7 linked regions of the Coturnix japonica genome follow. The protein of the gene in region 4 interacts with the protein of the main gene of each other region in a biochemical or structural test. Links are inferred from orthologs where the notes say so. Each region holds a gene or a part of one and is shown on either strand. Other genes may lie near its edges. The genes, in order: PARK7, EIF4B, ubiquitin-conjugating enzyme E2 variant 1, PRKN, MFN2, UBE2J1 and UBE2G1.

Region 1 (3,360 bases), on a different chromosome or scaffold from region 4:
TTTACAGCAGGCCAAGATCAGATTTGGTGAAAGAAAAGGCTTCTCAGTGAAGGATCCCTTTGCTTCTCAATTCACTTAGCTGTGCTGTCCCTAGAACAATGTGACAGATAGGTCACCCTCTGTTCATCAAAGCTTTATCTGTCTGTTTAGGGACCTTACGATGTCGTTGTCCTGCCTGGAGGTAACCTTGGAGCTCAGAACTTGTCAGAGGTAAAGTCCTGGGATCAAGCTGTCAAGCTGTTTTTCTTTGTAAATCTTGTTCATGAATTTGCAGTAGAAAATGCCTCAACTGTGCTTCAACCCAAATAATCAACTCAAAGCAACGGCTTCTTTTTATCTTTTACAGTCTGCTGCTGTTAAAGACATTTTGAAGGATCAGGAAAGCAGGAAAGGCCTGATTGCTGCAATATGTGCAGGTGGGTTAGTAACAAGTTTTCCTTTGATAAATACTTGGGTGTTTGAAAGGACAGGCAGGCGGGTATCCTGCCTTAGAAATTTATATTCTTGTAACTTAGTTACAGAAATTTGCTCTACAAACCCATCAGCATTTGGATTTTCTAGTCATTTGGGTTAGTGTCTTAAAAAGTGACAACTAATTTGCTGGGTGTAGTGGAAATGCTGTAGTGGCCTGAAGCAATGATGGAGCACATGGTGGGAAGGCAGAGCCAACCCAGGGGAGCTCAGGTGCAGGCAATGTACTGGGTGATTGGATTGGGTGGAGTCAGGATCCAGCCCTCATTTAAGGGTTCCCAGTGGAGGTGGGGGTATCTCTCTGGAGTTCCCTGTGTACCTGAGGTCTTCTTGGTTTCTGTGAGTACAGTTGCCACCTCTGAGTAAATCCTCACTTGCTGCAGTCTGGGACTTTGTTACTCTGCTGTCATTGCTGACCTTTTTGTTGTGTTACAGCATTACATTTGGTTTTTAGTTTAGGGATTTTTGGTTTGTTTTTTTTTTAGTATCTGGTTATTTTCTCTGTGAGGACGCTGTGCTGGCTGAACATCGTTACTATAAATTTGTCTCATGACTCCTCTTCTGCCCTTTAGATTCAGCAGGGTGGCTGAAAATATAGTGTTACAGGCTCACCTTCAAAGGAGTGGTACTAAAATATGGAGTTACTCTACAGTGAGGGTTGTCTGCTTACATGTTCTGCACAGCTAGATATCTAGTTCAGTTCTTTATGTGGTTTGTATTTAAAGAAAAAACAAGATGAATAAATGCCGATATTCCCAGCTGAACAGAGAGAGTGGTCTATGTAGGGGAGAATGAGGAGAGTGATGATAACTGTGTAGGAGATGCTCTAACGGTGTGTGTTTGCAGCATGTGTTTGTGTTTTGTCTGGTGTGTGGCTGCTTTTTATTTTGTTTTCGTTCTTCAGTTGAGCAATACACATGAATTTGTGAGCAGTCCTAAGTGTGGCTCTGGTGGTCTTTTCCTTCTTTACCCGTATGTTGCAGAACAATTCATTTATTTTATGTGTAGTGCTTTTCAGAACTTTTCCAGCTGAACACGAGGGAAGTTATTTCCTTGTTGCTTCATTTTCTGAAATGAATCAGATACGCAGAAATGACACTTGAATCAGCCAAATCCTGCATTCAGTTTCTTCTGGAATTCCCATAAGGATTTTTTTCTTGGGTGATCTAAGACAACTTTACACAAGTTTCTTCCTCAATTCAGGCAAGGGAGGAAGTGATGGAAAGAGAAAGAGAATGTAAAAACTGGAAGGTTAGCTGTTAACCCATAGCTGTCCAAAATGCTGCTTGGTGCACAATTCCAGCACATAAAGGCCTTTTCAAATGAAATTTTATCAGATAATCCTTACCAAGGCTGTGAGATTTGAGCCCCTGGATGCGTGTTCTTATGTTTGTAGCAGATAAGTTTCTCACTGATGTGTGTGTGTCCTTACAGGCCCTACTGCCCTCCTGGCACATGGGATAGGATTTGGAAGCAAAGTCACAACACATCCTTTGGCCAAAGATAAAATGATGAATGGAGGTATGTAATTAATGTTATAGCTTTATTTCTAAACTCGGAAAGTATTTTGTCCTAACTCTTCATTTAAAGAAAAGTAAATAACGTTTGCATCTCATTCTGTATCTCAGAGTTTCCTTAGTGCTTTCATATGCATAATCAAAATTCAACAGCTTGCAGATAGGTGCACTTATATGCCATGTGAACAAGCTGGCAGAACTCCCTGTAGGGCCTTTTCCTCTCTGAGGACTGTAGGCAGCGATGAGTTGCTTGGTTCTGCAGGGACAGGGATACAGAGCCCAGAGTGAGCTTGGCTCATGTGAGTCATTGAGGTGTGTACTCAAGAATGCGATGCTGTTGGTGGAGCTTGCTGCCCCTCAGTTGCCGTAGCCTGTGAGCAGGCAGGTCTGTGCTCTGTGTCACTGGAATGGAGACTGACCCTCTTATTGTTGTGTCACCCCTAAGCTCACTACTCCTACTCCGAGAGCCGTGTGGAGAAAGATGGGAACATCCTCACCAGCCGTGGCCCTGGTACGAGCTTTGAGTTTGGGTTGGCCATTGTTGAAGTACTGATGGGGAAGGAGGTGGCTGAACAAGTGAAGGCACCCTTAATATTGAAGGACTGAAATGCTGTTGTGGGACATGGAGTAGAACAATTTCAGGTGGTGAGTCTTGTCCTTTGTAGAATAACTGAGATGCACAATGTAGTTGTGGATGAAATTAACAGCTGTGCTCACCTAAATTAGGACATCTCACCAGTGTTTATTCCTGGAAGAAAACTCTGTTAGCAAAGACCTTCACTATCATTAGCAACTAAATAATCTTAGATCCTGGCATTTCAAAATCGCGTGGACAAATGTTTGCTGATTAAATAAAAATGAAACAACCTTGATTGTTTGTTGCTTCTTTGTGCGTTTTTTCCCCAGTCCCGAGCAGGGGCTGCAGTGAGTAACTTGCTTATCACTAGTGTCTGGCTCACACTTCTCTGTGCAGTGTGATAATCCGACTCAGTGTGGCACAGACTGGTGTGCCCTTCTCTGGAACTGGGAATTTCCCTGGTCTTAAGGCATTAAGGCTGTTTGCTGTGTAGGTTTGGTTGTGCCTTTTGTTTTCTGGAAGGACGCTCAGTAGTGCTGGTTTTTCTCTTCAGCTTGTTGTGAGATTAAGAAACTACATCGATCATTTCTTTTTTGTTTTTAGGGGGTTCAGACCTGATGGTTGTAAGCGTAATGTTTTGTGCATTGATGGCTTCAAAGTGTTTTGTCCTGGTGGCTCTTTGTGTATCTGAATTCAGGGTGGGATTGTTTGGCATCTTTCTTTTTTCCTCTGATGTTTTTCCTCTGTGCAATATATTTGCACTCTTTTTCCTTTGCAGCTTTAAGGTGCTGACAT
Region 2 (4,071 bases), on a different chromosome or scaffold from region 4:
GGATTCCTCAGTGACATCGTAGGGCAGGTTGCCCAGGAAGGCCGTGTAGGGCGGGCACTTGGGCAGGCGGCTGCGGTCAATGTTGGGCTCGCGTGCGGCGCGGGGGGCGGTGGGCAGCAGCGAGCGGTCGATCAGCGGTGCCCGGTACACATCATCATCATTGCTGTGCCACGCAGTGGAGACTGTGGGAGAGAATGGGTGGGCTGAAGGAGGTGGGCATGGCGTGGAGGTGGTGGGTTAAAAGAGGTGGCCATGGGATGCAGGGGGTGGCTACTGCGTGGAGGTGGTGGTCATGTGTTGCAGGAGGTGGCCAAGAGCTGCAGGGGAGGGTGGCCAAAACATGGGGGTGGTGGCCATGGGCTAAAGAGGGTGGGCACAATGTGGAGGTGGTGGCCATGGGCTGCTTGGCCAGAGCAAAGAGGTGGTGGCCGTGGGCTAGAGGTGGTGGCCACATCATCTAGATGGTGGTCATGTGTTATACACAGTGGCCACCCCACATAGATGGTGGCCAACTCATGCAGACTGTGACCCCTCAACATGGATGGTAGCCCCCCAAAAACAGACGGTATCTGCCCTAGGCTCGCTCTCACCCCTACCGTCGCCGTCCAGGTCATCGGTCTCATCAGCCCAGCTGACCGGCTTGGGGATGTAGGTGGGTGCACCGCTGCCGCCATCCTCAGCCAGGAAGTCGGTCAGGGTCAGGGTCTTCCCCTTCTTGTTCTTCTTCTTGGCTGCTGCGGGGTGGGGGGGGCGGCGAGATCGGCACCATGGCTCTGTCTGCACCCCATGACCCCCCTCCCATTGGTGGCAATGGGATGTGGGGAGGAGGGTGGGGGTCAAGGGGAGCATGCGGAGCTCCCTGCATTCACAAAGCTGCCTTGAATCAGTGAGGAGCTCTGCCAAAGTGGCACAGGTGGCACCAAATGTGGCGTAGAGCTCATCAGAATTGGCACAGGGGTCACCAGTACTGGCATAGAGGTCAGTAAAACTGGCACAGGGGGCACCAAAATCACACAGAGCTCCTTAGAACTGGCACAGGGGCCACTGAAATCAGCAGAGGAGTGGCCAAAAGTGGCACAGGGGTTGTTAAACCTGGCACAGAGCTCCTCAATATCAGCACAGAGGCAACCAAAATTGGCATAGAGATTGCCAAAAGCACATGAAGATACCCAAAAACATGTTGAGCACCCCAAAATCTCACTTAACTCCCCAAAAACACAAAGGGATCACCAAAACTGATGCAAAGCTCCCCAAAACCAACACGGGGGTCAGCAAAAGCACATGGAGACGTCCAAAAACATGAAGAGCTCCCCAAAATCTCACAGAGCTTCTCCAAACCAGAACATTGATGTGACTGCACAGGGCCAGCATGACAGCACTGCCTCCAAGCACTGCACGGAGCCCAGCAGCACACTCATGCAATGATGGTGCACTGTATGAGTCCTAGCAGTGCACGGGGTGCTGCTGGAGCACTGCATGGGGCCAGCATTGCATAGATATCACTGTGCATTGCACACAACCAGCACCACAGCACTGCCACCGTGCATTGCACAGAGCCAAGCCCTGCACAAACATGATGATGGTGCACTGCATGATGCCCAGATGTCAGTGCATATCACACGTCCAGCACTGCACCATGCACTGCACAGGGCCCAGCACTGCATGGGGTGGTGCTGGAGCACTGCATGAGGCCAGCATTGCACAGATGTCACTGCATATCACACATATCCAGCACTGCAGCGCTGCACCATGCATTGCACAGGGCCCAGCACTGCACAAACATGATGATATCGAGCTGCACAGCTCCCAGCAGTGCATGGGGTGGTGCTGGAGCACTGCATGGGGCCAGCATTGTCCAGATGTCACTGCATATCACACACATTCAGCACTGCAGCTGCACTGCACAGGGCCCAGCACTGCACGGGGTGGTGCTGGAGCACTGCATGATGCCAGCAGTGCCCAGATGTCACTGCATATCACACACAAACATGATGATATTGAGCTGCACAGCTTCCATCACTGCACGGGGTGGTGCTGGAGCACTGCATGGGGCCAGCATTGCACAGATGTCACTGCATATCACACACATTCAGCACTGCACCATGCACTGCACAGGGCCCAGCACTGCGCAAACATGACGATATTGAGCTGTACGGGTCCCAGCACTGCACAGGGTGGTGCTGGAGCACTGCACGATGCCAGCAGTGCCCAGATGTCACTGCATATCACACATAGCCAGCACCACAGCACTGCACAGGTCCCAGCACTGCACAAACGTGATGATATGGAGCTGGACAGGGCCCAGCCCCAGCATGGGGCCGGCATTGCCCAGCTCTCCCCGCCCATTACACACATATAACACACCGCATCGCTCCGTGTTCCCGTTCCACGCTCCCAACCCCACACGTGGACCCCCCCCTCCGCCCAGCTCCGCGCATGCGCAGTCCCACGCCCTGCCCTGCCCCCCCCCCCAATGGGCGCTGTGTGTCTATGTGGGGTGTGGGGGGGGCAAGGCCCGAAGGCCGCTCCCGGCCGTGAAGGCCCCGCAGAGCCGCATTGCCGCCCCCGTAACGCAGCCAACTGCCCGGCAGACCCAGGCTCGAGGCAGAGGTGGGGTCGCGGAGTGGGGAAGGGTCGCTCTGGGGTGGGTGTGGGGTGGGCGAGGGGCGATGTGGGGCCGGAGCCACCGCGCGGCGCTCACCTGAGGCCGCCATCTTGGCAAGAGGCAGAGAGAGGGCGAAAGGCCCGGATGGAGCCGTCACGTGATCTCCGGAGCGACGCCCACTTCCGGCAGGGCGGGGGGGAGACGCACACGGGAGCGCGCATTGCCGCGGGAGCGCGCACGTGGGGGGGGCACCGGGATGAGCGCTCCCCCTCCATCCATCCCTCCTTCTTCCCTCTCTCCTTCCATCCCTCCATTTCTTCCTCCTTCTCTCCCTCCATCTATCCCTCCCTCTCCCTCCTCCTCCTCATTCCCTCCCTTCTCTCTCTATTCCTCCTTCCCTCCATTCTTCCCTCCTTTCCTCTCTCCTTCCCTCCCTCCATCCTTCTCACCCCCCTCCATCCCTTCCCCCTTCTTTCCCTCTCCATCTCTCCCTTCTCCCTCCTTCCATCTCTCCCTCCCTCTCACCATTCCTCCCTTCTTCCCTCTCTCCCCACCTCACCCTCCCTCCTTTTCTCCTTTCCTCCATCCCTCCATCCACCTCTCCCTCCCTCTTGCCATCCCTCCATTCTTTCCTCTCAATCTCCCTCCCTCCATCCCTCCATCCCTCCCTCCATCCATCCCTCCCTCCATCCATCCATCCATCCATCCATCCATCCATCCATCCATCCATCCATCCATCCATCCCTCCCTCCATCCCTCCCTCCATCCATCCCCCTCTCCATCCATCCCCACTTCTGTTCCACCATCTCTCTCTCCCTCCCTCTCCCACCCCTGTGCCTCAGTTTCCCATTCACACACACTGAGCCCCATCTCTTTCACTTTGCTCCTTTATTTGTAAGGCAGGAGGGGGCACCACGCCGTCCCCATTCAGTAGCTGCGCACTTTGACTTCTTTGCTCTCGGACACCACTTTGCCATCCACCGTCCTCTGGGTGCTGCGCTGCGTGGTCACTGTCCCCTCCGACCCCAGAGCATCCTGCAGGCTGTGGAGCAGCGGGTGTCCCCATGGTCACACACCCCTTTATGTCACCCACCTTTATGTTACTCACCCTATGTCCACCCTGTTACCCACCCGTGTCACCCACCCCTGTGTCACTCAGCCCCACGCTACCCTACCCCGCTGTAACCCCAAGGAACTTGGAGGGGACATCAGGGTTGGGATGCTTGGCCACTTGGGTGCCACCACTATCCCTGTCCCCACTGGGTGTCACTGCTGTCCCTATAGGATCCCTATGGGGTGCCACTGCTGTCCCTTTGCTGTCCCTGTAAGCCATGGTCCTGCATATCCCAACACTGGGGCTCATCTCATTGAATGCCAGCACTGCCCCTTTGCTGTCCCCAAACATCCCAAAGGATGGGACCTGCACATCCCAACACTTGGTCTCACCCCACCGAATGCCACCACTG
Region 3 (3,500 bases), on a different chromosome or scaffold from region 4:
GGTGGAGGAATCTGGTGCTGGGTGTACTGCAGGGAAAATGAACTGCTGTGCTGAGCTGGGTCCAGGCTGCTGCTCTGGGCTGTCCCTGCTACCTTACATGGAAGCATACTGCTCCTCCCCAGGCTCAGTGCAGATGGTTTTGCAACCAGTCATTCCTCTTGCTTATACAAGCTATTCAATAACAGGGGTGCTGTCAGAACTTTGACTTGGTCTGGCTCTAGGCCTGTGCATGGTGAAGACTTTCTGTTCACTAGTCTTAATGCGATGTGGTTATATGCAAGGGCCATAAAAAGCTGCAGACTTTGGTGTGTTAATTGCTCTGTGCATAGAGCTCACATGGTTCTGTTAGGAGACTGGGACAGTCCAGGCTGAGTCAGGTAACTGTCCCCCAGTCTCTGGAACAATGTTGTTGCTGTTTGGAATCAGGATGTAGAAGGGTTGCTCCAAAAGTAATGCCTCCTGTTTTATGATGTTGGCCTGTGATGTCAGAGGCGGATGTTGCTGGTGTGGCAGTAGGGGCTGAACCTTCCCACCAATGTCCTGTTCCATTTTGTTGCTGTGTGACAGCTGGCAGCAGAGGGGCAGCCTGACAGAGTGGTGTCTGACATAGAAGTATGGAACAAAGGGGCAGAACAGAAAAAATGGCACCCATTGACATTCATTGATGATTGCTGAACCTATATGGAGACCAGGCAGTGGATATTGGTGCAGTCATGCTGGTGCCTTTCTGCATTGTCAATAGCAGCGTGAAGGACAAGCCGTGTTCCAGGTGACCTTGCACAGCTGTCATACAACAAGATGAAGAGTGCCTTGATCAGCTCATCTGCATGAATCAGCTAATGGTGGTGACTGTGTTGAAAAACAATGTTTTATAGCTGAGAATTTGCTCTATCAAATAATGTTATTGTGCTCTGTGTATCTGTGGTAGATTCTGTGGAAATAAATAGGAGACATTACTTTCGGAGCAACCTGTGTACTTTAAATGTACTAGATTTTGGAGCATTCACTTTTCAGGGAGCTCATGCATTGGGTTGACGATTGACCAAAGAAAGTTTTTAAGTGAAGCTTTAGGACCAGCCAACTTCAGATGGCTCTCTACACTAAAGCTATAGCTTTGATTTCAAGATCATGCCTGTGATTAGTGAATTGATAAAAACAGAACTGATTTATAAAGATTGGTTGAAGAGCAGAAAACTAAACTATATGGTGATAAGAAAAACTTTTTCAGGGAGTGAACAGGAAGCAATGCCAACTTCATTCTTTATGTGAAAATTCAATGTGTGCTTAAAAAAATAGTAGAATTTAATATGCAGAAGAGCAGCATTTAGTGCTCAAATATTGTAAAATGAACCCAAAACAGGGGGAGGCAGCACAGAATGGAAGCAGCTGACCTTCTGTTTAGTGGTTTGTGTTCCTGAAATAACCACTGTTTTAACCAAGTGTTTGTTGAACTGCCTGATATAATTGTTCCCCCTTCCTGCTTTTTTTTCCCCCAGACAATTTATGAAAACAGAATATACAGTCTGAAAGTAGAGTGTGGACCTAAATATCCAGAAGCACCTCCTACAGTTAGATTTGTAACTAAAATTAATATGAATGGAATAAATAATTCCAATGGAATGGTAAGTTTTTGTTTTTTACTATTTTACATGGTTTTCACGTGCAGCTTCTAATGAATGCTTTTTATTTGCAGTTTGCTTTAGTACTTTTTGTTTGCTCGTACCATTTCTTGGAGTAGAAGAGGGGAGTAGGAGGGAACTGTACAAACTGAGAGAATTCTGGAATCAAAATGTACTTTTCTTGTACATTTGCAGCTTGCAAATAGTTCTGCATGGATTAATCATGCTTTCAGGAAAGCCACCTGCTTGCTTTTGCCTTCTTTGGTTTCTTCCACTGAGACTTCTTAAAAGATCTTTGGCTGGAGGGTGTGTGTGGGAGTTATTGACAGTTCTGATTGTGACAGGAATGGTGTTTTTGTCTGTTCTAGGTGGACCCCAGAGCCATATCAGTCCTAGCAAAATGGCAGAATTCTTTTAGCATCAAAGTTGTTCTGCAAGAGCTTCGGCGTCTAATGATGTCTAAAGAAAATATGAAACTTCCTCAGCCACCTGAAGGACAATGTTACAGCAATTAATTAAAAAAATAATCATGCCCCCTTATTCAATTTAAGCTGTCTTCATTTTCCACAGTAGTAAATTTTCTAGATGCATCTTGTAGACCTCAAAATACTGGAAAGGAAGTTCCCATTCAGAGGAGATTTTTCTTGAGATACTGTAAATGATACTAATTTTTTTTTCATTTGAAATATAAGTTGTGCTATAACAAATAATCCTGTTGTGTAACCACTGTCCACATAGCTGAACTTCTGGTATCAGGAAGAGTTGATTTAAATTTATTACTGTCAAGACCAGTGTGGCACATCTAACTTAACTGTGAAGCATACATCCCACAATCACCTTGCTGTGTGTCTGGCCAGGATTGTTTTGTTGTTTATTTTCTTTTTCTGTCTTTTGCAATAGAGTTGAAGCTCAGGGCTGTTTATTAGAATAGGCACAAAGGTTTTCTTTCCAGTACGACACTGGGCTTTATGGACTACTAATGGGGATGTGTGCTAACCTCCGTCATCCCTCCCTTTGTGCTATCTCTAGTAAAGGCTGAATGTGACTGTAGTCTTTTTTGGTTTTATATTTTTTTTTCATGCCATGGTAATCTGGGGCGAGCTTTCCTCCTTTCCTCTGGCCAAGGCATAGATTGTATTCCTCTTCCTGATCTCCCTCACCAGTAATGTGAGCATTGGGTGAGAGATTCGGGGTTCTTTTAATCTCTTCCCTCTTCCCCTCTTTTTAGCAGGGATGCTGCTTTCTTTTTGCCCCTCTCTATGTCTCTTCTCACCCTTGGATGGCAGGGGTAAGCACTGGGGCAATAACTTGACCTATTCCCTCCTGCTTATCGTTTTGGTTTTGCAACAAATATAGTCTTCACCAGCCTGGGAATCAAGAGTATCCATTCTGATCGCAAACGTGGATGTTCCCTGTCCCTCTGGCTCTGCTGCCACACCACCCAGCTGGCTGCGGCTGATGTTAGATAGGCTTTTGACATGATGAAAAGAGCAGTAATATACCAGGATGACCAAAATCTGCTGCCAGGCTGCACGTAGGTTCAAAACACACACTCCAATCTGAGTAGCTGTATTTCTGGTGCTTTGGAATGACCCGGGAATGTTGACTAACTGAGTGCAGCACCCAGGTTGGCGCTTCTGAGGGTCTGACAGACAAATTGAGTCAGCGTAGATTCCATCAGGATTCTCTGAGTCTTGGAAGAGGAAACGCCCTGGTGAAGATCCGGGGAAGTGGTGCAGAGTGAGGACCAGTATTGGCTTTGCATCCTGGCAAATTGCTGCCTTTTCTGTTTTACTGTTGGACCACTAACTGCAGTGTGGATGCAAGCTTACATGCAGCCAACCTAGTGTGTCTGGAATTTTATGAAAAGATCAAGTGTTT
Region 4 (4,071 bases):
GATATTTTGTACTGTTGTTGTTCTCAAATTTTTCACTTATGTAAAGATCTCAAGTTGGCATTTTCTTCCTTATCCTTATTTCTCTCTAATATTTGTCCAGTCAGCATGCATTTCTCTTCTACAGTATTCAGCTACCATGAAAGATTTTTCCATTCTCTCTGAACAGGAAAACAAATGTAGTTTTCACATTTTCAGTTGTGTTCTGTATCACCTGCACGAGATCCCAAAGTAGCTGTCAAGCCAAATCTAGCAGTTCTGCAAGCTGTGAAACCAGTAAACTTTGTTATCCAGGGATATATTTCTTATATCCCTGCCCCACACTCCTAAGATTATCCCAGCTCATTCCAAATCTCTAAATTCTCCCACAGTATCCTGGGTAAGTAAGCACAAAAGTAATTTATAAAAACAAAAGGAAAAAATGGTCTAATTAGAAATTCTAAGCTACCAAGAACTAAGATTCAGCCATGTAAAAATGTATGTTGTGTTTTGTTTTATTTTATCTGCATGCAAATCATTAGGTCCAGAAAACAACTGTTATTAATTTTCTTCTATGTGATGTTAACTCTGATATTACAGATGCAACATTAATGCCAGCAGTTACTATTTCACTAGCACTCAGCTGCTTATGCAAAAAGCCCCAAATTGCCTTCTGTAGGAAAAGTCAGATATATCAAACCATCTACCATTCTTCTTGTGTTGACAATTTCTACAATGAATAGATAAAAACAATTAAAATAATTAAATACCAGGAATAAAAATCTTGTTGACATGTTGGTATTAATCATTGGATTATGTAAGGCACTTAAATACACAAATATGGATTATGCCACCTGAAATAGCCATTTTACATCCTATATGCTTTAGAAAATGAAAGTCACAGCAATGAACATAGATCCGGTTTATTAGTAAGACTTGGCTACACTTGATAATTCTGTCATTCCTATTAAATAAATTAAGCAAATAGTCAGCAGGCTTCTATATCCAAAAAGCACATTTTAATTTGCACAGCAAAGCATTGTATGTTGTAACTGACAGCAATTTTTTTTAAAGGCAAAAAACATGATTCAATGTCTGTGACATAAAATAGCAGTAACACCAATACCTACAGCTGCTCAGGAAACACTAGGAGTTCATAAGCTTAGGACAGGATAACACAGACAACCAGAACTAGCAACTGGTATCTGGTAATTTCCACTATTTTTCTTCTCACATGTGAAAAAATATAAGTGAAATACACTGCAGTTTACATCACAAATATATGCATCAATGCTATCTATAGGTTATGCATTGTGGACTGACAACAGTTCATATTTCTGTATTGTGTTCTGTCCTAAAACACACTAAAATCCTTTGCAAAATATTGAGTATCTTAACCACAGAGAAATAGGACGGGTCATTAATACAGTAGTAACCCTTCTGTACCCAGACTTAGCATCCATTTTAATTACAGAAATACTTCTGAAACACGACTGCTAATTAACATGAAATACTTCTGCCTGTGAGGGACCTTTTATATAATCACCTGCAGTAGTAGAGACTGTGTCTGTTATTTTGATACAACTGCAGAAGGATAGCAGTTTCATTAAGGCAGTAAATTCAAGAGCACTCTATTCAAAGGCCTTTAGGTTTTCCTATGTTCCTACATGTCTTAGATGTATGATCTTATGCTAACCCCTTCCTGAACATACTCTGAAATTCACATTCACTACTCATAGTATAAATAAAAACAATGATAAAGCAACTGTGGCAGCACTGGGAAGAGTAGTAAAGAGTACAAGGAAGAGAAAATTGAACCTATATTTCCATGCTTACTACAGCTCATCACAGATGAACAATTCTGCACTTATTGAACTGAACAGCTACCTAACCTTGAAAAACTGAAATTCAGATACCCACTTATAGCCATTCTTCCACACTCCTTGCTGCTCTCAGTTTCACACATTTATGAGCTTGGTGGTTTGGATCACACTTCCATGAGCTTTTTAGAACTGGAACCATCATTCCAGCAGTGCGTTCACCTGTGTATGGCACACGGCAGCATTCAGAACAGCAGCAGCAGCCCTGTAGCTATCCTCCAGGGGTCACAATTGGGTTACAAATTCTACAGAATGTGCTGACCGTGCAGCCTGATCTGAAGCAATTTATTCACATCCTTCTTCATTAAGATTCAAATGGAATAAGTAAAATAAAAATTGAACAGATACAGAAATTGTGCATGGCTTGCTTCTGTAGTCAGTAAACATTTATTCACTAGGCACAGCTCTCTCCCATACTCTCTCACTCATATGCTCTCCCTATCCTTCCTGCTTGCTGTTTTAATGCATAATTAAGAAGGTCAGAATTAATGAAGCAGTGTGGAGTAAAGTTCAAGGAATCCCCAGGCACTATTTATTCTATTAGATCTCAGGAATGAATGTCAGATTGGCAGCATTAGAGGCAGAGGCAGCAGAGCTGGCAGCAGTCCAGGAGCAAAGCTACCACAGAGGCTTACCTGCAGCGTTAAGTCGTTGCTGAGCTCTCTCCCTGCAAAGATCACCCGCAGCTGGTCAGCTGGAACTCCCTGTCGCTGCGCAACCGCCTCCTTCAGCTGGAGGATGCTGGCTTCCAACCCAAGCTCCACCGGGAAGCCATGGCTTGAGTTGAACCTGACAAACACTGAAAAAGAGAAAACACCTTTTAAAGCAAACATTTCTCACTGCCGGTCTGTACTAGAGTGACTACAAGTGGCTTATTTGTCAATTTCAGAGAGCACTGACTGTTTTAAGAGAAAAGCTACTAATACTGTAGTGTATAATTTGGAAAAGAGGAACTGTATGGGATTTCCCTTCACAGAATAGCTAGTGACTAATAAACAAAAGCCACGTGCTTCCCCCAGCAGAGCTATAAATTGAAGAGAAACATCAGAACCAAAAGGGACCCATCCAGCCAGCAGTCCAGGCAACCACTAAGTCCTGGAACAAATCTCTGATCCACAACTGACCTTAACAGACACAGGACACACACACTTTCTATGCCCCTTGTGCTCTTTCCTGCTGCACGTAACAAATGCATGCAGAAAACTGAGTTTTAGAGCTAAGTTACATTAAATAATACTAAGCAAAACAATTCACTGTTATACTGCAGAGCACGGTCACATAAATTGGTTCCCCACAGATACAATTCTGTGGAAGGTAATGATGGAGAGAAAAATCACACGCTAGCAGAAATGTTTGGGAGTGTTGTATTACACTGTGGTCTTTTCAGAGTTCACTAAAACATCTGCAGTACATAACTCCTGCTGGCATGTTCCTTCAGTGCAGGAAATCACTACCGCACTCGCCATATCATTTTTAGAGCTGCAGAGAGTGGTTTATATATCCTGAGAAGCCTGGCAAATAAACTCATGAGCTTACAGCCATTCAGCTGGCAGTGTTGTTTTTCACAAGGGTGCTGAATGTGCTCATTGAGCCCTTGACCAGGGGAGTGACTACAAGAACTATGCAACAAGAAAAGCTTGACTACATCCATACCAGTCACTAAGGCTGCATAAACAGTACACTCAATCCCAGTGGGCTGCTTCAGCCAATAAACAGTTCCACTAGCACAAAGCAAAGGAATTAGCAAGTAATATAAAGCAATAAAATCATTTGTATCAATTAGTCACTGGCTACCTGACATTTGAACTGTTTAGGTATTGATTGCAATAACCATCCCTCTTGAAGATTTCCCATTCCCACTGCAATGTTCTAACTGAAGACATACTCCTTTGAATTTTTTATGAGTGACAGATGCATAAATTCAAAAGTGCTCATACAGTTTGAGGAAATCTATTTTTAAACTGACAATAGGATCAATGATTTTCCAAACACAAAGTGTACCTGACTGCTGTAAAGGAGTCAAATGCTTTAAAAGCATGCGAATATAGTTGAGAATGATGGCGATTTTTTGCTGAGCAATGAACGTTGTAAATATTTGCAATTTTACACCTTTAATATAGATTTTGCTATTTCTGGATAATCTTTAAGGCCATAGACCAATATATTTTTTTACACAACATTTTGAGTTTTGCACATCCTCTAAATTTACTAAAAA
Region 5 (4,011 bases), on a different chromosome or scaffold from region 4:
TGGAAATCCAGCTCTTTGGAGTCAAGTCACAAGCTTTCTCTCCAAGTAGCTGGAATCTCTTTTTTATATCCACAGCATATACAGGACTGGACACTTAGAAAATCATTTCTGGATACTATACCAAACATTATCAAGGAGCTGGCTCCAAGAGTCGTAATGGTTACATGTCACACCAGATGAAACTCAGTAGTAACAGCCTGAAGATCATCTGAATCCTTACCTCTATGCAGTCTTTGGAAACACATCACAGAGTTCAAAGCAGCAGCAATAGCAATGTAGGTGCTTTGTGGTAGTCAATGAAGGCCCATTAATTATACATTATCTCTGGGATTAGTCTGAAGACATAGAAAAAAGAAATAGCCTCCCTATCTTCTGTTACTGCAGTTTAGGGAGGGCTTCAGTGCTGAATCAGCTCAGCTCTATCCTTGTTAAGATCTACAAGCTCTAATGATGGGTTAACAACCCAGAGGCCCCACTGATCTTTGGCCTCATTCTCCTTCTTAGCGATCATTTGGGTAGTTCCCTTTGCATCCAGCTTGTTTGAGCCAACGCTGTAGAAGAACTATTTTCTGGTACTTAGAGGAAATCATTATTTGGTATTTCTAATATTTGAGATTGCAAACCAAAGCATCCCCCTGGGGATGAGACTCATAGAAATGAGTGGGTGAGTGCTCAGAGGTTGTGGCAAACCAATAAGGGATAAAAAACTGCCTAGAATTGAGCTGTGGGTAGAGGGGGAGCAGAGAAAAACCGTTGTATTGCTGCCTGTGAGAGACCTGCTCTGCTTTTAGACACTATTATGTGTATGAAGGCTGGTTTGTTTCACAGGCAGTACATTCACATTGGGATTGGGGTGGACCCACAGGGCTGCTCTCTGAGGGCTCTTTAGGGTCTCCTTCAGTGCTGTGCATCCACCAGGGGAGAAAAAACAGTTGAAAACGGTAAAAATTCGTGCTGTAACCAAATGAAGAGACTTTCCAGGCCCACGGTTGAGAAAACATTGACATGGTGTATGTATTTATTTAGCTTCCCCACACACACACTTATTTTATTGTGTTTTTCCTCTGCCCGATACTATGATCGGAATCCGCGCGGAGCCGCTTCACACACAGATTCCAACCGTGGCAAGTGGGAGGTGGGGAAATTCGCATTAAACTATTCCCAAACGCTCACTGTGGTTGTGTTTCTTCCACGACGGGGCGGCTCCTCAGAACTACAGCTCCCGAAGCACCCCGGGACAGAGCCCGCCTACCCAGGGGTGGTGCCGGGGGTTAAGATGGCTGCGCTGCGGGAGCGGCCGTGAAGGTGAGCGTTGGTTGCGGGCTGTGATGGCGGCTCCTGTGAGGGGTTCGGGGCTCTGAGGTGGCGGCCGCGCTGTGGGGAGAACGCGCTTCCCGCCCTTTTTATTGGCGGGAATCCGCCGTTCTCTGAGGGCCGAGTTCGAGGCCTGCGCCTCCCTCTGTCGTAGGGAGGCGGCTGGATTCGGAGTGAGGGAAGGAGCTGTGGTGGAACGGCGCTGTTCGTGTTCTGGAGGGGCTCGAGTTGACCATGTCCGGCTTGTGAGAGCGAAACACATCCTAAAAGTAAGCGGGGAAGGGAGGGAGTGATCCCTTGGAAGGGAGGAGGGAAGGTGGGTTTTTATTCTTTCTAGATATTTGAGTGACTTCTAAGTGTGGGAATTAGAAACGTTCCTTGTGGAATGATCTTTAGAACGTGTATTATCTAGTTCTCAGTAGGCGTCTTCTGTCTCCCAGGGGTCTGTATTGAGACATCACCTTTATCAATATACATTTTATATATGTGTGTACACCGTACCCTTATACTATCAGGGCATACACATTGGGATCAAGATCAGCAATTTGCTGATGGCACCACACTGAGCACTGCAGTTGACAGGGCAGAAGGAAGCGATGCCCTCCAGAGGGATCCTGGTAGGTGAAAATCTGAACATGAACCAGCACTGTGTGATGGCAGCACTGAAGGCCCACACACAGAACAGCATCCTGGGCTGCTGCAGCAGATGGGTGCCAGCAGGATGAAGGGATTTTCCTCCTGCTCTCTGCTTTTGTGAGGCCCCAGCTGCAGTTCTGCACCCAGGCCTGTGGCCTCCAGCAATGGAAGGATGTGGGGCTGTTGGGGGGGATCCAGAGGACAGCTGTGAGGATGCTCAGAGAGCTGCAGCACCTCTTCTATGGAGAAAGATTGGAGGAGTTGGGCTTGTTCAGCCTGGAGAGGGCTCCAAGGAGACCTCATTGCTGCATTCCAGTACTTTAAGGGAGCTTATAAACAGGAGAGAAGTGAACTTTTTACACAGGTAGTCAGTGATAGAACAAGGGGAAGTGGTTTTAAACTAAGAGATGGGAAACTTAAGTCTCTCTTGCTGCTGCCCGGAGCTGTGGGAGCCCCATCCCTGAAGGTGCCCACAGCCATGGATGGGCCCTGAGCAGCCTGAGCTGGTGGGGAACACCCTGTGTGTGGCAGGGTTGGAACTGAGTAATCTCTGAGTTCCTTTCCAGCCCAACCGTTGTATGATTAAATATCAGACACTTGGTTGTGTGGCTGTTAGGCCTCAGTGAGTTCCCTTTCCTTACTGATTTTTTTCCCTATAGCGCAATGTCCCTGTTGTTTACTCGTTCCAAGTCAATAGTTGCAGTGAAGAAGGATAAAAGACACATGGCTGAGGTCAATGCTTCTCCACTCAAACATTTTGTCACTGCAAAGAAGAAAATCAATGGCATCTTTGAGCAACTGGCCGCATACATCAATGAGAGCTCCTCATTCCTGGAGGGTAAGCTGAGCTGAATGGTGCTTTGCCTGCACGTGGTTCCCAAGCAACACACCAAAACCCTCATTTATTTATAAATACGTATCTCTTTATATGTCAGTATTTGTATGAGGGGACTGAAAATTATTGTAGTGAATTTGAGTGAAGTTTAGGCCTCATATTTCAAAGCTGATTTACGTTGGTAATGTATGAAACCAAGCTAGTTAGTGGGCTCCGTTGTTTCTGGGGAAGGTTATTTCTATGTGTTTTGTTTTTAAAATGAACTATTTGAGGCTCTTTTGCTTGTGTGCATATAATCCTTTCAGTATTCTTGCCTAGACACGTCATTGCCAGTGACGTGGAACACATACAGTAATTGGCTTTACAGCTTACGATGCAGAGAGAAGGTTTTTAAGGGTGCTGGGATGTTTGAAGCATTGGATGCGTTCTGTTTAAGGCGGTCATGAGGATAAAGAATGGTTATTAGATAAAGAGACTGGTAGATAATGCTGCTGGGTGTAACTGCATGCTTCAGCATGACCTGTCTGAACTGTGAGATACAGATAAGCATTTGGTTGTGTATGTTAAATTATGGGGAGGTGTTTTACCCAGTACTGAGGCAGATCGCTTCAGGGATTCAGGGACATGATGTGTTTTGATTTTTAGAAACACACAGGAACGTGGAGCTTGATCCTGTCACCACAGAAGAGCAGGTATTGGAAGTCAAAGGCTACTTGTCAAAAGTCAGTGGCATTAGTGAAGTGCTGGCGAGGCGACACATGAAAGTGGCTTTTTTTGGAAGGTAAGTCGAGTGCTTACATTGCCTACACTCCCTACTGGGTAAAGAAACTTGCATCTTTAGGATCATAGCCAAAAATGTATTTATAGAAGCATTAGTGCTCCAGCTTCTGGATGCAACGTGTGGCACATGTCCCTAGTTCTAGTATTTGTGTGAATGGGACTCAAATACTGTAGAACATAATCTATTTAGAAGAAAAAAAATGGGTTCTTTTTTAAGTTGTCTGTAGCAAATGAATTGTTAGTGCTTCTGGAGCTGTTTTGGTTTAGATGACTTGTTCTGAGCTCAGAAGCCCAGCTATGCTGTTCTTTAATTTTGCTTCAGGACGAGCAATGGGAAAAGCACTGTGATAAATGCCATGCTATGGGACAAAGTCCTTCCTTCAGGAATTGGGCACACCACCAATTGTTTCCTGCGTGTAGAAGGGACTGATGGTCATGAAGCTTTC
Region 6 (3,500 bases), about 29 Mb from region 4:
TTATTCTCAGCTTAGACCATGACTTTCCTCTGGAGCGCTCAGAGGTAAAGCATTAGCATAAAAGCTGACTACTCTCCTCTCAATTGACACTCAGGCTGCTTTTAGTGATTAGACCAAGGGGAAAAAAAGTGAAGTAATGGAATTTAAAATATTTTAATGTAAGAATGGTTTTTAAAAGTTAAGAATATCTTAACGAGTCCAAGAAATTTTTATTTGGATGCACAAGCATTAACAGCTTACCAACACTCCTCAGTTTCTCAACCTTTTCAGCTTCTGTTTATTGAACAGTTTCCAAAACTTCCTGTGTCCCTCTTTCACAACTTCACATTTCTACAGCTCTCCCATCCTTTTGCTCCCTCAAAAATCTGCCTCCCCTTCCACTACGAGCTCTATTCATTGCAGTTAAGAACACGGGTGTGTTTGCATGGGGTAGAACACAAGCAGCAGAAATTGCATCTCATATCCTTACTCAGAGCTAGGAAGGCAACCTTTCTGTTCTGCTTAATATTTGCAGTTCTGACAATATTTTTCAGTGCCGTTTCCATTTATTCTCCTAATATTATAATAAATAACTAAAATCCTGTCAGTAGCAGCACTGCCTTGTAGTTCAGTCACATTCTGTCAAACAAACCAATGTGAATAAATACATTAATGAACTCAAAACCACAGAAGAGGGTTTTTTCTGCTCAATCCTCAGTGAAGACCAGAGGTACAGCAATTCCAGAGTTTCCTCGAATTCAGGGAAGCACATAAGAGGAGTTTCAGCACACATACTAAGAATTAGTCCAAGCATCGAGAGAAGTATTAGTGAAGTATTACTGTAGCATTCTTTGTGAGATTTTTCAGTGTAAAGATGATTTCCAAATAATTTGTTACTTACTACTCCATGAAGGCTGCCATGTTTCAGGATGATGCCCTGAGATGCTTAAGCAAATTTTCTTCCCCACTTCAAACCTGCCATTAGCCTTTAAAGAAAGGAGGATATAATAAAACGTGAAGTTAATTTGTGCAAAGAAAACAAGTTATCAAAAATATCATAAATCCATATGCAAACAATACTTGATAACTGTATTACTACCAACCTTGCAAATACAGCATTCAGCTTTCTGAATCAAAGAAGTCTGCCAACTACCTTAGTTCATGCACAAAGAGACCCCTACCTGATACCTCATATGTCCCAGTGTGACATAATGGCTTCTCTGTTGCTCCCGTAATCCACACATGTGTGGAGACTCTGAAAGTCTATAGCTCTATGAAATTACACAGAAATACAGGCCTTCACCCATACCATAGATCTGTTTTTCACGCATTAACAGAGACCACGTAGATTATGTAAGTTCATGTAGTTCCAATGCTATAGGCAGGGACATCTTCCACTAGGCGAGGTTGCTCAAAGTCCCATCCAGCCTAGCCTTGCGCACAGCAGTGGTAGGCTGACAACTGGACAAGGTGATGTTAGTGGTCATTTCCAACCATAATTACTCTATTATTCTGTGATCCACAGAGACAACAGGAAGGTTAGACATCCATATAAGCAATCAGTATTAGTTTTGGGGAAGTCTCCCACTTGTAGATCCAAAACTTCATCTAACTACATTATACCAAAGTCACTTTCAAAGACTTCTGTCACTAAACTGGCAGCATTAATTGTACTATGACCCCTGTCTTATAAAAATAATGTTACCTTAGGTGCTAGGAATCTTTCATATACTTACCGTCAGCAAAATAATGCTTGGTGGTTTCATGGGATATTCAGGTGGAAGTACTATCCGTCCGTGATAAATTCCTCCATCAAAATCTGAATCTGGAGGACCTCTAACAGTAAAGTGCCATTCAAAAAGATTGTCCTAAAATGACCACAGCAAGGGAAAAAGAAATAAGTGTCAAGGAAGTTGACATCTAATTATCATTTCTTTAGCCTTTGTTCCAAGGAAAAAATGAATGGCAAGTTTTAAAATAAGGAAAAAAATAAATAAATCAGAAATGAAGATAACCAACAGTATGCTAAGATTTCACTGAAAAGGAAAGATGAAGTAGCTTCCTGGTAATTTTCTTACCAAATGACTTAGTTGGAAAATTCTAATGGACTTCACTCTAGCTGTGCCTATTCATTTCCTGTCAGATGGAATACATGGAGTCAAATACGGGAAAACTCAGTCTTTACCCCAGTGAATACTGGTTTATACAGAACTGAGAGGCTCACTCCAAGTAAGAACATTAATTACAGCCTTCTACGTCAATGTCTCTTCTGTGCCAGGGCAACAAAGGGATTTGATGCAAGTTCCTTAGAATTCCCTTCCTCATTTGTTTTTCCACAAAGACTCACCACTACCACACCCTACTGCAATATATAGATTTTGAACTTCAGAACATTTTCATTGGACAAGGAAACAGCTCTTCCTTAAGCATTATTTTTGAGGGCTCTGAGTTTGGCTTTGTGCTTCAGATCTCCTAATGCTCATGACTCCTTGGACAAAAACAAGACAACACCTAGTTTTAACACTGCAGCCCAGTGAAGCTTGCCTTTGGTGAACAAGATCTCCTAACTAATGCTGAACACAGGTATCACATGCGTGTGACTGCTCATCTAGCTACAACATTTCCTAAGGGAGGGAACTGTCAACATTTCCAGCACTTCTTCTCACTGTTCTCTTCCCTATGAGTCACCGTTCAAACTGCAAAATAAGGTTCTCATTTCAATTACAATAGCACGAACTAAACCTTACATTTCACCTCAGAAAGAAGAAAATGAGGTAGAGACCAAGGCTGGTCAGTAGCAAAACAGAAACATGCTAACAGCTACAAGCATGTTTAATATGCTACACTCTTCTGTAAGCAGTTAATTCCCTAAACTGAGCATAACATTAACTTGACTGTGATTATTCCAGAAAAATCAGAACATGTTTCTTTTTATGCTTCTAAGCACCAGAATTTCACTGTCCTTTCAATCCAAAACCTTCCCATGATGCCACATTCAGCATCTAGGATGAAAATAGTGGGTCTGATAACAGTAAAAAAGCTTAATTAAACATAATAGTCCCAGGGAAGAGAGAGGGGAATAAACATATTGTATCCATGTGACAGAATCACTTACATGGCATGTGAAAGCACTATTGTTGTGTACTTTCACTAACAATTTCAGTCTACAGTACTATGAAATATGGAATTCTGCTCTTGATTTCCAAAACCTCTGAAGAACTGAATTCACTTTAGAATAGTTTGCTGCTATTTAAATATGCATGTCTAAATATACATAGAGGACTTAGAGCCTCATTACATGCCCCTGCAGCAAGCACGTGGGGAAACAAACCTCCAAAGGTTGTGCGTGATAATGATCTGTAGGATCCTTCAGTTCTGCAGCCTCTTTCATCAAACGTTTGACAGCTGAAAGAAAGAGAGCATGAAACATGAAAATAAGGAAAATAATAACACCTACTGCACACAAACATGTGTAAACACTTCGGAAAGAGCTCCTTTCAGCTAACTAGTACTTTTAACAC
Region 7 (4,122 bases), on a different chromosome or scaffold from region 4:
TTCCTCAACTCTTCTGCAACCATAAGGGCCTCAGGTCCAGTTATCCTCCCTCCACACCAAATAACAGCCCTGACTTCAGATCTCTCACAGTTTGAACAACACTGATAAAGGAGTGACCTCGACCAGTTTAAATGAGTTCAGATGACGTAACTCATCTCCACTTTGCTGCCCTCCAAAACCCAACCATTAAGTACAACCCAATCACTCACCACACTCAATACACAACCCAAAGCTGCATGCAGCATTAGGACTGAAATATCAGTCCCATTCAGTAAGAAAAAAACCCTCAGCATTGGTTTTAGTTTTGAGGCAGGTAAAACAGCGTGGGTACAATGAGGGATACACTGGAGCAGATGAGAGCTGGGAGAAAACAGCAGCGGGGGGGAAGGTGAGACCTCACAAGGCTCAGTCTCTGCACTGCACCTTCAAGCAGCCTGCCATTAGAAAAAGCAGTTCAGGGCCTTGCTTCAGCTCCATTCAGATACAGCAGAGATTATCAAATATGGAAGAAACAACATATTTCCCTTTCCAGGTCAGTAACTACTCCAGGCTGAGCTCCTGAAGAATTTCAGACTCCCCACACACTTCAGTGCATACACTCAACCACTTTCTATGCACAGAAGCACAAAAATTACATAAAAGTATATGCACATTTCTGTATAATTTATGTATATATTATTTATATATTTTAATATCTCTAAGTAGATGTAGGAAAAAAAAAGTACTGATGGTACTTAAAACCCAAAGGCCTCACAAAGGGGCTGCACGTTACATGCAAATGGCCGCAGTGCCCAGTTGACTCAGTATCAGTAATAAGGCAACTGGAAGGGTTCACTGCTTTTACACGGCACGTGAAGCTCTCAGAAGAGAGAGAGCAGAAAGACTGAGGGCTTCAGTCAGTCTAAGAGCCTGCAAGTCCAGCAGCACATCCAACCAACCTTCATTCAGAGGGCAGGTCATAAAGAACTACACAACACAGGCGGTCTGAAAGTTTCTTGATGGTCCCTTTGACACTCAGCTCAAGTTGGGAACTTCCTTTCACGGTGTACAATTATTTAATTAACACACAAATTCCAGACCGTCTCAGGTCACCAAACGCTTGTTTGTATGAAGCTAAAGAGCAGCCTCAACACCATCTCCTCCCAGTGTGATCACTTACAGAAGAGAGAACTGTTGCAGAAGCAAGAATTTTTGGAGCTCCTGGTTTAAGCCTATATATATTGATAACTGCTTATGTGAACAAGTAGATGCCCCAGCAGATGTTCAGGAATGCCGTAACGCCTGCTGGGCCCACTGACACGATCACACCGCGTGGAGGAAATCTTTTTATTTACAAAAATCACCTTCAATAAGTTTTAGCCCACCGTGCCCCGCTGCTTGGCCGGGCCTCAGCTCCACCTCGCTCCCATCACTCAGCGCCATGCAGCTCCCGCACTCTGTTATGCAACTCCGCAGTGAGCAGAGCCCTAAAGCCACCGGGGGCCGCATCCCTCCCGCAGGGACCCCCCGCACGGCTGTGACCCGTCCCTCCGAAGCGCTACAGAGCTCTATTTGCCCGGCTTTAGGTACACCTAGCGAGCATTTCCTTATCTGGCTATGGAGCAACTCATTTTTACGTAAGGCGCACAGCAGCCAGCGGAGCTGCCCGAGGTGCCGGCGTTGCTCAGGGGCGGTTCGGAGCACACACGTGCGATGGGGGAGGGAGCGTTCAACCCCCTCCCTGCTCCGCCGGCTCCGTGTCTCTTTAAATCTGGCAGCGAGCGACACATGGAGCTGCATTGTGCGCCCCGACAACCAGCGCATGCGCGGCGCCGCCGGGCCGAGCCAGGACCCCACCGCGGCCGCAGCCCGGGCACACGGAGCAGCGCGGGGCCGCCCGGGACACAAAGGGAGGGGGAGCCGCCGCTATGGGCTGCCGGCCCGCAGCACCACGGGCCGCTCCTCGCCCCACTGCGCTCACAACAAAGGGGGCAGCGGCCCTTCCTTCCTCACGGGCACGGAGCGGGGGGCGGGACGGGGGCAGCTCAGGTCCCCGCGGCGAGCTCAGCCCTGAGGCGCCGCTTCTGGACGCGAGGAGGGGGAGGATAATAAAAATCGAAGGGAAAAATATATATGTGTTATATATTATATATAGAGCCGCCATACAACTCCCACCTCCGCTTCTGACAACACCGCGCGGCCCTCCCCGCAATGCACCCCCACGGCGAGGCCCAGCGAGGGGACAAGAGGCCGCGGAGGCCCGAGCGGAGCCGCTGCCGGGACGGGAACGGCGGTGGAAGCGCAGCCCCCACAGCCCGCTCCGTACCGAGCCGGCCCCGCTCCCCTCCCCTACTCCCCTCCCCTCCCCCCGGCCGCGCTGCCACGCTCCCCCTCCCCCCCCGGCCTAGTTCCCTCAGCCCCGGGCCGGGCACTGAGCTCAGGGGGGGTTGGTGCTGGTTAGGCCGCCGCCTCCCCTTCCCCCTCACAGCCGCCCCGCTCCCCGCCGTCCCCCTCCTCCCCCTCACGACCCGTCCTGCCCTCAGACTCCGTTCTCCCGTCTCCTCTCTCCATCCGCCGGTACCTGCTAGCTGTCTCCGCAGTAACAAGGCGGACTGGAGCTCCGTCATTCTCTCCCTTTCTATCCTCGGAATGAGTCCCGAGGACGGCGCGGCTCCCGGTGCTCCCAGAGCCCGAGGCGGCTGCGAGTGGCCCCCTCAGCCCGCCCGCACCGCCGCCACAGCACGCAGGGTCCCTGCCAGGGGCGCGCGGCCGTGGCTCCGTGCCGCCCTGCTCCTCCTCCTCCTCCTGCACTCCGCTCTGCGCAGACGCACTTCGAGCAGCTACAGGCCCTTCCGCGCCGCCATCTTAGGAGTGGCGGCTGAGCTGTGTGTGTGTGGAGGCGGGGCGAGGAGAAGCCAGGCCGCCATCCGTTTCGCTGAGGGCAGCGGGTCTCCTGAGGGCAGCAGCCTTCAGTTCACTCACGGCTTTTCCTCAGTGATGGATGTGTTTAAGCGTTCTTTGCCAACCTTAGTTGATTCTAAGGCTGCTGTGACATAAAGAGCCGTAACGTAACAAAAAACAGCGTTTTGTCCTCGTTCGAAGCCATCTCCCACGCCCAGAGGGAGCCGTGGTTATTATTTGGCTGGGGGAAGCAGTGCTGGCTGATGGAGAGTTGCTCGCTGTGCGGGATTGCTGCGCTGTGGGGCTCTGAGGGGCTCTGTGGGGTCTGTGGGTGGCTCTGTGGGGTTCTGTGGGGTCTATGGGGTCTGTGGGGTCTATGGGGTCTGTGGGGTCTATGGGGTCTGTGGGGTCTGTGGGGTCTATGGGGTCTGTGGGGCTGTGGGTGGCTCTATGGGGTTCTATGGGGCTCTATGGGGTCTATGGGGCTCTATGGGGTCTATGGGGCTCTATGGGGTCTATGGGGCTCTATGGGGCTCTATGGGGTCTATGGGGTCTATGGGGCTCTGTGGGGCTCTATGGGGTCTGTGGGGTTCTGTGGGGCTGTGGGTGGCTCTGTGGGCTCTGTGGGGCTCTGTGGGGGCAGCACGGGCTGCTATAAGGTGGCAACGGTGTCTGAACGCCACCTCAGTGAGTGCCCGCCTGGTACCATGAGGTGAACGCGGTACCCCCCGCTGGAGTCTCTAATTTTACCGATTTTACGACTAAATTGTTAAAGAAATGCAGTTTCTGGCCGATTGGTGAGCAGTTATCATCATCGGAAACTGGGAAACTCCCCGCTCTGTTGTAAGGAGCTGCTAAAAAGGATTTATCCTGCTCGAAAGTAACACTCTTCATTGTTTTCGACCACGAGGAATTCCTATGTGAACATCAAACTTGGCTTTGCAACAAGAGTGAGAAACCCAGGATAGACGAGATGCTTTACTGGCAATGCTGGAATCTTCTCCCCTTGTTGTAATTCCGGTTATAGTTCGAGCGTTTCATTACTGCACTCCAACAATTAATCACAAAGCCATTCTCAGGCATTCCGGCAATTCTGATTAAATCCGTGTCCTCTTCAATGATTAAACTAGGATGAAAAAAGACATCCCGCAGCATTACTGAAATTCATCTTATAAATGGTGTTTGTAGCCAAAGGAGGTCTTTGTGGAAGTCCTTCCTGCTGTAGGTTAACTCCAATTCCCA

What was found.
Region 1: the proteins of PRKN (region 4) and PARK7 form a complex in vitro, tested with the Homo sapiens proteins (2 studies listed by BioGRID, with this or other methods). The link is inferred for Coturnix japonica from reciprocal best matches to the Homo sapiens genes PRKN and PARK7.
Region 2: of the proteins of PRKN (region 4) and EIF4B, one has a biochemical effect on the other in vitro, tested with the Homo sapiens proteins (2 studies listed by BioGRID). The link is inferred for Coturnix japonica from reciprocal best matches to the Homo sapiens genes PRKN and EIF4B.
Region 3: the proteins of PRKN (region 4) and ubiquitin-conjugating enzyme E2 variant 1 form a complex in vitro, tested with the Homo sapiens proteins (4 studies listed by BioGRID). The link is inferred for Coturnix japonica from reciprocal best matches to the Homo sapiens genes PRKN and UBE2V1.
Region 5: of the proteins of PRKN (region 4) and MFN2, one has a biochemical effect on the other in vitro, tested with the Homo sapiens proteins (2 studies listed by BioGRID). The link is inferred for Coturnix japonica from reciprocal best matches to the Homo sapiens genes PRKN and MFN2.
Region 6: the proteins of PRKN (region 4) and UBE2J1 form a complex in vitro, tested with the Homo sapiens proteins (4 studies listed by BioGRID). The link is inferred for Coturnix japonica from reciprocal best matches to the Homo sapiens genes PRKN and UBE2J1.
Region 7: the proteins of PRKN (region 4) and UBE2G1 form a complex in vitro, tested with the Homo sapiens proteins (5 studies listed by BioGRID). The link is inferred for Coturnix japonica from reciprocal best matches to the Homo sapiens genes PRKN and UBE2G1.

The regions. Positions count from the first base shown.
Region 1 is NC_029536.1:196,701-200,060, reverse strand, and holds the end of PARK7 (protein/nucleic acid deglycase DJ-1), read left to right. Parts: intron 1-150; coding exon 151-210; intron 211-346; coding exon 347-416; intron 417-1,905; coding exon 1,906-1,992; intron 1,993-2,433; coding exon 2,434-2,594; 3' UTR 2,595-2,860; downstream 2,861-3,360. UniProt on the Homo sapiens protein: Multifunctional protein with controversial molecular function which plays an important role in cell protection against oxidative stress and cell death acting as oxidative stress sensor and redox-sensitive chaperone and protease.
Region 2 is NC_029544.1:1,104,165-1,108,235, forward strand, and holds the start of EIF4B (eukaryotic translation initiation factor 4B), read right to left. Parts: upstream 2,801-4,071; 5' UTR 2,715-2,800; coding exon 2,702-2,714; intron 735-2,701; coding exon 591-734; intron 183-590; coding exon 1-182. Other genes in the region: KRT18 (keratin, type I cytoskeletal 18), read right to left, coding at 3,533-3,647. UniProt on the Homo sapiens protein: Required for the binding of mRNA to ribosomes. Functions in close association with EIF4-F and EIF4-A. Binds near the 5'-terminal cap of mRNA in presence of EIF-4F and ATP.
Region 3 is NC_029535.1:12,304,356-12,307,855, forward strand, and holds part of ubiquitin-conjugating enzyme E2 variant 1, read left to right. Parts: intron 1-1,496; coding exon 1,497-1,622; intron 1,623-1,987; coding exon 1,988-2,134; 3' UTR 2,135-3,500. UniProt on the Homo sapiens protein: Has no ubiquitin ligase activity on its own. The UBE2V1-UBE2N heterodimer catalyzes the synthesis of non-canonical poly-ubiquitin chains that are linked through Lys-63.
Region 4 is NC_029518.1:40,121,991-40,126,061, reverse strand, and holds the start of PRKN (E3 ubiquitin-protein ligase parkin), read right to left. Parts: upstream 2,801-4,071; 5' UTR 2,690-2,800; coding exon 2,492-2,689; intron 1-2,491. UniProt on the Homo sapiens protein: Functions within a multiprotein E3 ubiquitin ligase complex, catalyzing the covalent attachment of ubiquitin moieties onto substrate proteins. Substrates include SYT11 and VDAC1.
Region 5 is NC_029536.1:4,790,006-4,794,016, reverse strand, and holds the start of MFN2 (mitofusin-2), read left to right. Parts: upstream 1-1,211; 5' UTR 1,212-1,305; intron 1,306-1,468; 5' UTR 1,469-1,583; intron 1,584-1,829; 5' UTR 1,830-1,931; intron 1,932-2,609; 5' UTR 2,610-2,613; coding exon 2,614-2,788; intron 2,789-3,430; coding exon 3,431-3,566; intron 3,567-3,887; coding exon 3,888-4,011. UniProt on the Homo sapiens protein: Mitochondrial outer membrane GTPase that mediates mitochondrial clustering and fusion. Mitochondria are highly dynamic organelles, and their morphology is determined by the equilibrium between mitochondrial fusion and fission events.
Region 6 is NC_029518.1:68,954,870-68,958,369, reverse strand, and holds part of UBE2J1 (ubiquitin-conjugating enzyme E2 J1), read right to left. Parts: intron 3,385-3,500; coding exon 3,311-3,384; intron 1,848-3,310; coding exon 1,716-1,847; intron 966-1,715; coding exon 881-965; intron 1-880. UniProt on the Homo sapiens protein: Catalyzes the covalent attachment of ubiquitin to other proteins. Functions in the selective degradation of misfolded membrane proteins from the endoplasmic reticulum (ERAD) and is essential for cells to recover from ER stress.
Region 7 is NC_029534.1:2,222,411-2,226,532, reverse strand, and holds the start of UBE2G1 (ubiquitin-conjugating enzyme E2 G1), read right to left. Parts: upstream 2,801-4,122; 5' UTR 2,607-2,800; coding exon 2,561-2,606; intron 1-2,560. UniProt on the Homo sapiens protein: Accepts ubiquitin from the E1 complex and catalyzes its covalent attachment to other proteins. In vitro catalyzes 'Lys-48'-, as well as 'Lys-63'-linked polyubiquitination. May be involved in degradation of muscle-specific proteins.